2 linked regions of the Macaca mulatta genome follow. The protein of the gene in region 1 interacts with the protein of each later gene in a pairwise test. Links are inferred from orthologs where the notes say so. Each region holds a gene or a part of one and is shown in the gene's direction. Other genes may lie near its edges.

Region 1 (5,891 bases):
CCATGGGAAACACCTGCACGTTCTTTGTGCTGGCAAATTCTGTGTATGCAAGCTGATCCCTCTGCAGCCATCATTCTCTGCCTCCCACCTCCACCCCAAGCTGCCTCGGCTAGCCTCTCTCAGTTCAGATTTCTCATACATGAATCAGACATTAGTCCACTGGGGCCCTACGTATACTGCCGATGGGAGTCTAAATTGGTACATTGATGCAATCAACCCAGAGAGCAATTTAGTAATAGCTAACAAAGTTGCAAATTTCCCAGCAAATTCACTTCTGGGAATCGGCTTGGCGAATCCATTGCACATGATGTTCATTGCTGCTCTGTAAGGCCGTTAAAGTAGAAATAACCTCTCACGGCCGGGCGCGGTGGCTCACGCCTGTAATCCCAGCGCTTTGGGAGGCCGAGGCGGGCGGATCACAAGGTCAGGAGATCGAGACCACGGTGAAACCCCGTCTCTACTAAAAATACAAAAAATTAGCCGGGCGCGGTTGTGGGCGCCTGTAGTCCCAGCTACTCGGGAGGCTGAGGCAGGAGAATGGCGTGAACCCGGGAGGCGGAGCTTGCAGTGAGCCGAGATCGCGCCACTGCACTCCAGCCTGGGCGACAGAGCGAGACTCCGTCTCAAAAAAAAAAAAAAAAAGAAATAACCTCTTACTAAGGAATGTAAAAACAAATATGGTTCAGTCATTCAATGAGCAGTGAAAATTATCTAGCAATTGACCAAATGGACAAATCTCGAGAGTATAATTTTGAGAGGAGAAAGGTGCACAGTGAGAGGTACAGCTATGATTCCGTTCCATGATATGTCTAAACATGCAAAAGAAAATATGGGTACGCATATAAGGACATACATGGACATAATAATATACAACATTCTCAGCACAGTGATTGCCACTGGGGAGGGAGACAGAATGAGATGGAGGAGGTACACAGGGGCTTCTGCCTATCTGTATTGTTCTATTTAAAAAGAATGAATCATTGATTACACCTCAATAAAGCGGAGAGGAAAAAAAGAATGAAACCAAGTATGATAAAATTTCAAGCTAGTGGTGGGTCCACAGGAGAAATATTTTTATTATTTTACTTAAAAAGTAACAGAAGGGAGTCAGGGAGTGAACGCTCGCTGTCCGGAGTCCATCACAAGAGCAGCTCCTCCAGGCAGACACTTGTCAATTTTGCTAGGGCCTCCTGAAGGCACTTTTTTGAGTACGGACAGTCATGGTGCCAGACCCTATTCGGACATCCCACTGGCACTTGATAGGAAAGAAAAGGAGTGCCGGGAACGTTCCCATAACTTAACGGGTTCCTTTCACGTCTACAGCAGGGTAGGGCTCCAGTTAAGGAAGCCCAGGAATCCAGCATAGCGCCTCATCCTAGGGCCCCTCTCACAGGAGGCCACGCCCAACAAAGCAGAGCGCGGCCCCAGCAAGCGCCGAGCTCCCGCAAGGAGACCAAATAGCTTCGGGGTTTTGCCACTTGCTTAGCACAGGCCCATAAGCACCGGGGGCTCAAGGCACCTTTGTAGAAAGAATGCGCGACTGAAGTTCCAAGTCTTGCCACTACAAAGGCGTGTGTGAACTACGGCTTAACACTGCGTCTACGCCTAAGTTCACGTTAGTTGGAAGCCAGCCCCACCGCAAGCCCGAAAACACCCGCCCGTACGAGCACGCCGCGTTGTGCGCAGGCTCCACCTGCCACGCACGCACGCCTGCCTTGCCCCGCCCCTTCCGGAGGCTCGCCACACGCATGCGCCCGCCGGCGCGCGCTTTGTTACGAAAGCGAGGGGGCGAGGTTCTGCGGTGCTAGCGCGCGGAGCGACCAGAAGCTGCGGGCGGGGCGGAGGATGGAGGCTGTAGCGTCCGCTGCAACGGTTGGGGCTGCGCGTGAGAAGGTGGCGGTGTAGGCATCTGCGCTCGGGGAAGGCTGGCGGCGGCGGCCGGGCCATGGCGGGAGACCCCCTTCTCTGGGCTCCCTGAAGTCTCGGGGAGCCGTGACCCATGGGATCGTTGAGCAGCCGGGTGCTGCGCCAGCCTAGACGAGCCCTTGCCCAGCAGGCGCAGGGTGCCAGGGCGGGGGGCTCGGCCCGGAGGCCGGACACTGGAGACGATGCGGCGGGCCACGGCTTCTGTTACTGTCCGGGCAGCCACAAGCGCAAGCGGAGCAGCGGGGCCTTCTGCTACTGTCACCCTGACTCGGAGACGGATGAGGATGAGGAGGAGGGGGACGAGCAGCAGCGGCTCCTCAACACCCCTCGAAGGTACGTGGGGGCACGCACTCGCGCGGACCCGGACCCGCACCTGTTGGGCCTGGGGCCGAGCCGGCGCCCGGTGCGCTTGCGGGGTGCAGCGCTCCCCAGCCTATGAAGAGGGGTCGTGCCCTTGACAAGTGAATGTGGAAGCCGGCCCGATGCCGGGCGGACGGGGGAGCGCCTTGGGAGACGCCTGGTGTTCTGCATTTTTAACCACAGACGCTTCCAGGGTGTTGTTACAGCCCCAAGATGAGGATGAGAAACGCCAAGCCCGAGCTCGCGTCTCGTTAAACCTTAGAGACGCCCGGCTGGCTGGCCTTACCAGTCCACCTTTGCCCTCTCAAGTGGGTAGCCGCAGACTAAGTTGTTTTGCATCCGGTTGCTTTAGTACAGACACTAAATGTAATCTCTGAAATGGGCACTCTTACTGTCGCCCACTCAGTGGAGGGGAAATAATTGCACACAGGAGTTCTCGTTAATCGTAAAGGTGAAGTTTATCAATAGTGTACATTTGTTCCTAACCAGGAACAGAGTTTGTGCAAGTTTCTAGCAGTTGATGTCGTTGACCGTGGATGTACTGTATGTAGGGCGGTGCTGCTGCAGCTTGCTTAACTGTTTTTTTTTTTTTTTTTTTTTGATGAGTTGAAAGATGGAATATTGACTTGTGACCTGGAATTGGAATGTAGTTTATGGGTAGAATATATTCTTACACAAACAATTTGGTTTTTCTGCTTTTGTTTTTAAAGGTGATTTGGTAGGGTCACAGATGAAATTTTTTTAATGATTTCTTTTTCTTTTTTTCTTTTTTTTTTTTTTTTTTTGAGACGGAGTCTTGCTCTGTCGCCCAGGCTGGGGTGCAGTGGCCGGATCTCAGCTCACTGCAAGCTCCACCTCCCGGGTTTACGCCATTCTCCTGCCTCAGCCTCCCGAGTAGCTGGGACTACAGGCACCCGCCACCTCGCCTGGCTAGTTTTTTGTATTTTTTAGTAGAGACGGGGTTTCACCGTGTTAGCCAGGATGGTCTCGATCTCCTGACCTCGGGATCCGCCCATCTCGGCCTCCTAAAGTGCTGGGATTACAGGCTTGAGCCACCGTGCCCGGCCTCTTTTTCTTTTTTTATTTTTCAGACAGAGCCTTGCTCTGTCACCCAGGCCGGAGTGCAGTGGTGCGATCTCAACTCACTGCAACCTCCACTTCCTGGTTCAAGCGATTCTTGTGCCTCAGCCTCCCGAGTAGCTGGGACTACAGACACGCACCACCATGCCTGGCTAATGTTTTCTATTTTTAGTAGAGACAGGTTTCATCATGTTGGCCAAGCTTGTCTCAAACTCCCAACCTCAGGTGATCTGCTGGCCTCATCCTCCCAAAGTGCTGGAATTATAGGCGTGAGCCACTGCGCACCCAGCGTAAAATTAAACTTTATGAGCAGATTCAAAAAGGTTTTGCTATACAAGTGTTGCATATTGTAAAAAAGGAATCATAGATTAAAAACTCAATAGTTTGGTTTATAAAACCTTTTGTACCTTTTTTAATGAATATTTTTATTTATTTACAAAAATGGACCCCTACTGTGAATACTATTCAGTAACTTTTTTTGTTGTTTATTTGATTTTTGGAGTTTTTTTCTAAAGAGACAGGGGTCTCACTATATTGCCCAGGGTGGTCTCAAACACCTGGGCTGAAGCGACCCTCCCACCTCAGCCTCCCAAAGTGCTCAGATTACAGGTGTGAGCCACCATGCCTGACCCTGTAACCTTTTTGAAGAGTCAGTGTAGCATAGTTTTTTTTTTTTGGAAAATTTTTTTTCTTTTTTGAGACAGGGTCTCGCTCTGTCGCCCAGGCTGGAATGCAGTGGTGGGATCATGGCTCACTCCACCTCGACCTCACAGACTCAGGCAATTCTCCCACCTCAGCCTTCTGTGTAGCTGAGACCACAGGCATGCACCACCACACCCAGCTAATTTTTTTATTTGTAGAAACAAGGTCTCACTCTGTTGCCCACCCAGGCTGGCCTTGAACTCCTGGGTTCAAGTGATCCTCTTGCCTTGACCTCCCAAAGTGTTGGGATTACAGGTGTGAGCCACCGTTGCCAACCTGTGGCATAGTTTTAAGAGTTCAAATTCTGAGTTCTTGGCCAGGCGCAGTGGCTCATGCCTATAATCCCAGCACTTTGGGAGACTGAGGCAGACAGATCACCTGAGGTCAGGAGTTCAAAACCAGCCTGGCCAACATGGCGAAACTCTGTCTCTACTAAAAATATAAAAATTAACCAGGCGTGGTGGCGGGCGCCTGTAATCCCAGCTACTTGGTACGCTGAGGCAGAAGAATGGCTTGAACCTGGGAGGCGAGGTTGCAGTGAGCCGAGGTGGCACAACTGCACTCCAGTCTGGGTGACAAAGTGACACTCCATCTCAAAAAAAAAAAAAAAATTCTGACTTCTTGTCTGTATTCTGCACTTAATAGCCTTATTTTCCTTATATGTAAATTGGAGATATAAATACCTGCCTTTTAGGCTTTGACAAATATGAGAACAAACAAATGCACAATGTCTAGCATGTAAGCATGCAGTAAATATGTCTCCTTGATGAATTGGCCCCTTTATCACAACAAAATGTTCATCCTTCTTTATCCCTAGTAATTTAGCCACTACCACATACATGTATTTATTTATTTATTTATATTTAGTGGGTACAGGTGCAGGTTTCTTACATGCATATAACGAGTAGTGGTGAAGTCTGGGATTGTAGTGTATCCATCAGCCACTTTCTTTTGATAAATATCTGAATATCTCATTTTCTCTCCTTTCACTTTTTACCTGTGTATATTTAAAATGTATATCATGTAAACAGCATATAGTTGAGTCTTGCTTCTTTTATCCAACAGGACAATCTAACCTTTCAATTAGTAGTTAGACCACTTATATTTAATGTAATTCTTGAAATATACATCACAGTGCGTTTGAAGGAGAGAAATCACACAGCAATTTGAATACAGGAAATTTAATATAAACATTATTAACAAGGCACAGAGAATTAACTACTGAGGACAAAATGCTAAGGTAAAGAGATCTCTAGAAAATACATGGAGTAGTCAGTACTTCTAAGGCTGAGGCAGAATAGCCACAGAAGGAACAAATTTGGAAAATAGGTGCCCCCAACCCTTTACCAAGCTAAGATTCAGATGATGTTGAAGGAGGTGTGGCTGTAGCCCACTGGATGGTGGAAAAGTTTGCTCAGGTGTGGTAGGCTGAGGCTGGCAAGCAGGACACTGCCTACTAGGATGCCAACAAAATTATTTGGAAGCCTTTTGGCCCAGAAGGCCAAAGATATTAACTATCTAGACCTTTACAGAAAAAGTGTACCAACTCCTAGACTACATAAGTAGACTGGAATGGAAAGTTTTTAAAGCAAACCTTTATCAGAAAATGCATATCAGAGTTTAGTGTGTGTATATTACTAGAAGATGCTTGGATTATTCAGCCCAGTACGGATGCAGGGTATAAGAAAACACTAAGATGGGCCAGGCGCGGTGGCTCACGCCTGTAATCCCAGCACTTTGGGAAACCAAGGCAAGCAGATCACTTTAGGCCAGGAGTTTGAGACCAGCCTGACCAACACAGTGAAACCCCGCCTCTACCAAAA
Region 2 (5,947 bases), on another chromosome or scaffold:
GCGAGGGAAAGGCTGGAATGGCCATGGCTGGCCCCGGAGAGGGGCGCACAGCCTGTTGGCGGGTGGCAAGACCTTTGAGTTAATGTATAATTGTGAGCAGATGGCGGGGGCTGGCGGCAGCCCGGGGCCTGGGCCCAGCTAATGAGGGACAATTAGCCCCAAACCCGGTGGGGGTAGTTGAGAGAGTCAGACAGTCAAGGCAGATATTTGCTCCTCAAACAGTCTAGCGCGCTGGGCAGAGGGCTGAGTGGCAGAGCCTTTGGGCTCGCTAGGCCCCCCTGCCAGGGCCCTTTACCACTTTTCCCTCCCCCATCACCTCTGGGTCGAAAGCCTCTGTTTGTTCAGACCCAAGAGCGCGTCATAAAGGCGGAGGGAGAGGGTAGTTTATGGGGTAAATCGCTGCCACCACCATCTGCCAGGGCTTGTCCCTGCTCCCCCTGATACCCCTATCTCCACCCTCATGCAGCTGTCTATAGGAATAGCCGGTCAGGACATGAGCCCGGAGCCCTTAGATGCAGGGGCAGATCTAGGGGGGAGGGATGAGGCAGGAATTGGGGACTAAGAGCAGGGCTACCACAGGTCTTCCTGGGGACCTCTTCCCACCCAGGCATGGCTAAGTAGAGTGACCAGCAGTCCCCAGCTGCCCGGGAATGGAATGGGCTGTAAGGACACTTGGGCAAATGCTGTCCTGCCCGAGGTCCTGAAATCACCCTCTGCAGTCTCCCCTGTACCCCAAGACCAGCCTGAGGATGCCGGAGGAGGGTGGAAGAGGAAGAGAGTATGTGTCAGGGTGAAGTGGAAAACTCACTTATGTGGTATTTGGCCTCTGAGAGCAAGAGTTCCCAACCTTAGGATCAAGCTGAATGCACAACAACCACTTTCATCCCTAGAACTTCAAAACATTTACCCATGAAATAAGTCTTCCATTCTTTGATTTCTGGGTCTAGTCCTATTGCCCTACACCCTGCTTACTTCCAGTCTGACTTTTGCAATGGCTTCAAAGACTCTGAGGTGTGGAATGGACCCAAAGACCATCTGCCCAAGACCCTGATGACTGGCAACAAAACTTCCATGCACTAGAGGCTGTGTTTCACTTCCAGCATCCCACTCCACAGGCACCACCTGCCCAGCTACCGATGCCTCTTGCCTCGCCAATGACCCAGATAACCTGTGGTGTCTTTTGTGGAAACAACAGTGCCATTACTAACTTAGAGTGTAAAAGCACCAAATCCCTAACAAAATGGAGTCTGATAACATCTAAAGAGGGAAGAAGGAAAACCCTGCTGCAAGTCTTCTTATAAACACCCATATGCATCTCTGACTATCCCGAGGCTCACTTCCACCACCACTACCATTGTCAGTGTTCTTAAGTCCAGGATCCTCCATTTCCAGGCAAGAATTCACCCTTGGTGTCACCTCAGTCAAGGAGTCAATTGGAGAATTGGTGAGGATACTCTCTGGGGACAGCTGGTGCTAAGCGACACACACTCTTCACACTCTTCTCCATTCACTCTCATTATCTCAGAGTGCTAGGAGCCAACTCAGTCAGTATTTAGGCAATAGTCTGTATACTCATTTATCTTTTATAGCAACACACATAACTCAGGAGTTGACCCCAAAGTGCAGGCACGTGCATTCTGGCTGGGAAGGTGTGTTGGTGTTTTGGGAAGGCATCTTTTGTTTCTGTACATTCAAAGCCTTAAGGACACAACCTGAAGTTCCCCATCTTCCATGCCCAGCATACCCTTCAGGAGTACTGGTGCTTGTGTGGGTGCACTTTTGCCTGCATGAGAATGGCTCTGTCCCTGCTTCAGGGTGGTAGGTGGACACAAAGTGGGCTCTGAGGATTCCCCATGGAAGGACACAGTGGGTCATTGGCTGTGGTTTGCCCTGCCTCAGGGCTGGTGTCAGTCAGCCCATGCACACCTCCCTCCTCCTCTCTCCTCTGCTCATGGCCTGTGACATCATTGGCTACTCCCAGAAGGCTGCCCTCTGCTCTTGAGCACGGGCTCTCTGTAGCTCTGGACCCCCTGGCAGGACTGAAGCAGGAGCAGAGTGGAGGCTGTGACCAAGACCAGACCATCACCACCCCTGAAGCCTGCAGGGGTCTCAGAAGTTGAGACTCCCACTGAAGCTCCCACCTCATTTCCTCCACAAAGGTAGTTCACCTGCAGGCTCATTGTCTGCCCTGCCCCTTATGCTGTCTCCATGCCTCTGTGTGGCCAAACCCAACTTCTCTCCCACTCTGTCTTTGTGGCTACCACCCTCCTGCCCCTTCCACCCGCTTTCCTGTTTTTCCATCTTGCAAGCACCAGTTATTTTTTCAGACATATTAGTATGAATGTTGGGAATGTGTGGTGTGGCTATTGGGAATGGGGTTTCTGTTTGTGAGTTGGGACATAATGATTTAGGTTTGAAGATTATTTAGGTGGATACTGAACCTGCATCCCTACTGCTCCTTTGAATTCTGGTCATGTAGGAGAACTGAATCCTATCAAGGATTTAGGGTTTGGCTGATATTTTGAGCTCCTTCACCTGTCTTGCCACAGCCCTTTACAGTCCCTGCTTGACTCTCCTCTCTCCATTGTTTTTGCGGCAATTGCACAAACATGAAGCAGGAGCGGGAGCAGAGAAAGAGAGCCCAGGATTAGGAGCCAGAAATTGTAGCCTCTGGTGAGGAACTGACTTCTGAACCTTGAGTTTTATTCTCTGGACAGCCCCTGACTTGTGGGAATGCCAATCTGTGCCTCAGGTTTCTCTTTGGAAAACCTCTGCCTTACTTCCCAACCTTTTGGAAAGATGAGAATCTGAAGGGGTCTGTGCCTCCACCTACCTAGAAACAAGTGAGTAAAAGCCAATTTAGCTACTGAACTTAATAAGTAGACTCTGGATTCCAAACTCCTTGTAATTCTTTGTTTCACCAGAGCTAGTCTCCTTTCTCCAGTTGCTCTGTAATCTGTTGGAGAGCAAAGACTTTACCCTTTTCTGTTTACTGCCTTCATCCTGAACAACCAGCAATGTGCTCATGCTTAATATCTTATTCAGCATATAACTGCAGATGAATTAACTGAGCCCAGATGGCACACTTATTACAAGAAAATTCTATGCATAAGTTGTTCCTTGGGGTGACCTCCAGCACTACCAGGGTTCCAGGCATGAAAGGAGGCATCTTCAACTCCCATTAATTACTGATGAAAGTAGAAGAGGTATGGTGGCCTGTGGGACCTGTGTCCCTTGCTGCTCAGAGACTCTCTTGGGCTCATGACGGTTTCTGTATTCATCAGCAGACAGTCCTCTCCTGCTTCCCATTCCCTTCAATATGTCTTTGGTAAATGTTAGTTGAATGAATGAGTGTCTGATACCATAAAGGTGGTCTCTGAAATTGAAGCTTCACTTTGAGATCTAGAACTCTTCCGAGTTAACAGGAATGAACAATCTCAGCAGGTTAGAGATGCTAAGAGATGTGCGTCCTAGGAGAAGCCGGCTCTTCAGGCATGTTCATCTCTATGCCCAGTGTGTAGGACGAGAGCCTCAATGCCTGGGGGGTAGAGCTGAGTCCCAGTTTCTTCAGAGCTTCCTGGAGAGTATAAAAAAACAGGAGCAAGTCTTTCTGAAGTGCAGCATTTGGCTGGGCATTTTGGAGAGCCCAAATGAGGACTGCCTAATAGTGAAGGTGGACCCCTGAACTTGAGGACCCCAGAATCTCTGGCTCAGGTGTGTCATCCAGGGCTGAGAAACTTAGCAGCAGTTGGAGACAACAGCTGTCCATTTGGAAAGGGGAAAGCTTGAGCCTTTGAAAGCATCATCCCTTTCTACCTCCCCAACCTTTTGTAATGAATGTGTGGGAAATGAGAACCCTCTCAATCCTCCCAGCCCCTTATCAGGACTTCAAGAAAGATCCAGTCCTCAGCCAACCTGCAGTGTTTTAGTTTTTATCACACAAAGGTTTAAATTAAAGGAATTAGAATTTTCTAATTTTAGCCAAGTCACTGGCAAATTTTAGAAACCTGACCCTCTATCACAAAACACTACCTCCCAGGACCATTTCAAGCAAAAGACCTCACCCAAATAACCCCCCGTTATTGCAGAGAGCCCCCAAGCTGAAAAAGGAGCTCCTAGAAGGAACTTCCCTTCCAAGGCTACTTTGCTGGAGTCTCATCCTTCCGAGGAGGGTCAGCCTGGAGCATGCAGCAGGACGGTGAGGAGCCTGGGGGAAGTGGGAAGACACGGAGGACGACAGAGACAGGGGAAGACCTCAGGGCTTTGCTTCCATCAACTGTTTCATCTGCCATTGGCCAATGTTCTGGAGAAGTTTTTTCCAGTCCCTCACTTCCTGCCCTGTCCTGCTTCCCTTAGATCAGGAGAGTCAGAGGTTATGGGCAAGGAACAAAGACTCACCCATGAGCCAGCTCTCAAAGAAAGTGGCTTGCGTTGACAGCCTGGGGGCAGCAAGGATGCAGTCTCCCAGGAGAGGATGCACTCAGCGTTGGGAAGCCAGGCTGGAGGGGCCTGAGTGACCCTCTCCGCATGTGGGCAGGGCAGTGGGAGGTGGTGTGTGGATACCTCTCTCTCACGCCCAGGGATCAGCAGCATGAACCAGCTTGGGGGGCTCTTTGTGAATGGCCGGCCCCTGCCTCTGGATACCCGGCAGCAGATTGTGCGGCTAGCAGTCCGTGGAATGCGGCCCTGTGATATCTCACGGAGCCTTAAGGTAATGGGCCAGCATCTTTACCCAGTGATGGGGACAGGAAGCAGGGAGAAAGGGCTCCTCTGAAGGCAAGAGCCTGGGGCTGTTGCAGGCTCTGAGGGCTTTTGGGACTTGGGTCACTTCCTGGCAGACCCTCTTGGAGGTTGAAAAGGGGAACTTCAGACCCTCAAAGGTGAGGCTGGACTCCCAACTCCATGGCCTGGTCCAGTAAGTCTTGGCTTTGTCTTGTAGCCTCCTCCTGTCCCAGGGACACTCTCCCTCCTTCTGCCCATTGTGCCTCACCTGTCCCTGCTTCTCACCTGACTCAGGTATCTAACGGCTGTGTGAGCAAGATCCTAGGGCGTTATTACCGCACGGGTGTCTTGGAGCCCAAGGGCATTGGGGGAAGCAAGCCACGGCTGGCTACACCCCCTGTGGTGGCTCGAATTGCCCAGCTGAAGGGTGAGTGTCCAGCTCTTTTTGCCTGGGAAATCCAACGCCAGCTTTGTGCTGAAGGGCTTTGCACCCAGGACAAGACTCCCAGCGTAAGTACCCTTCCCTTCCAACAATGGGGCTGGAAAACAGGCTTTCTGGGGAGACAAATAGCCTTTCTTATTTGGCAATGAGGGCATCCCAGGCTGGTGACAGGGCTCCTGGGCTCTTCTGACCCATACGTTTTTCTTTTGAAAAGTGGTGGTAATAAGATAATTGGGAAGGAGAAAGCATAGAGAGGGAGATGAGGCTGCCCTTAGGAACAATGTGTGGGTGGAGACAGACAGGAAAAAGGATATTAAGGGGAATGTCCTCAGGGTATAGCCCTGGGTCTGAGCACCATCTCTCCACTCAACACCCCGACACTCCTAGGTCTCCTCCATCAACCGAGTCCTGCGGGCGCTACAGGAGGACCAGGGACTACCGTGGACACAGCTCAGGTCACCAGGTGAGTCTTGGAGTTGTCCCCAGGGCTAATCAGAGCCGAATCTCCAACATTTTATGGTTCTCAAAGCCTTTTCTCGTTCTTTCTTGGATCATCTTCACAACAACCCAATAAGGAGGACCAGGCAGTGAGTCTTATTCTCTCCCAGCAGAAGAAAATTGACATCCAGAAAAGTGAAGTGACTTACCCAAGGTCACCAGCTAGTTGATGGCAGGCCCTGGAACAGAACCCAGGTCCCCCAGCCCCTGGATTCACAGGATCTATTGAAGAAGAGGCAGGACTGAGTCTCATACCCTCCCTCTGCTCTGTGCATAGCTTCTTAG

What was found. The genes of interacting proteins can lie anywhere in the genome.
Region 2: the proteins of GMCL1 (region 1) and PAX4 interact in a two-hybrid assay, tested with the Homo sapiens proteins (3 studies listed by BioGRID). The two-hybrid records come from large-scale screens. The link is inferred for Macaca mulatta from reciprocal best matches to the Homo sapiens genes GMCL1 and PAX4.

What each region holds. Positions count from the first base shown.
Region 1 is NC_133418.1:54,921,460-54,927,350, reverse strand, and holds the start of GMCL1 (germ cell-less protein-like 1), read left to right. Parts: upstream 1-1,771; 5' UTR 1,772-1,999; coding exon 2,000-2,259; intron 2,260-5,891. UniProt on the Homo sapiens protein: Possible function in spermatogenesis. Enhances the degradation of MDM2 and increases the amount of p53 probably by modulating the nucleocytoplasmic transport.
Region 2 is NC_133408.1:167,465,485-167,471,431, reverse strand, and holds the start of PAX4 (paired box protein Pax-4), read left to right. Parts: upstream 1-1,980; 5' UTR 1,981-2,159; intron 2,160-2,717; 5' UTR 2,718-2,843; intron 2,844-4,088; 5' UTR 4,089-4,185; coding exon 4,186-4,198; exon of another isoform or gene 4,199-4,580; coding exon 4,581-4,711; intron 4,712-5,016; coding exon 5,017-5,232; intron 5,233-5,551; coding exon 5,552-5,627; intron 5,628-5,947.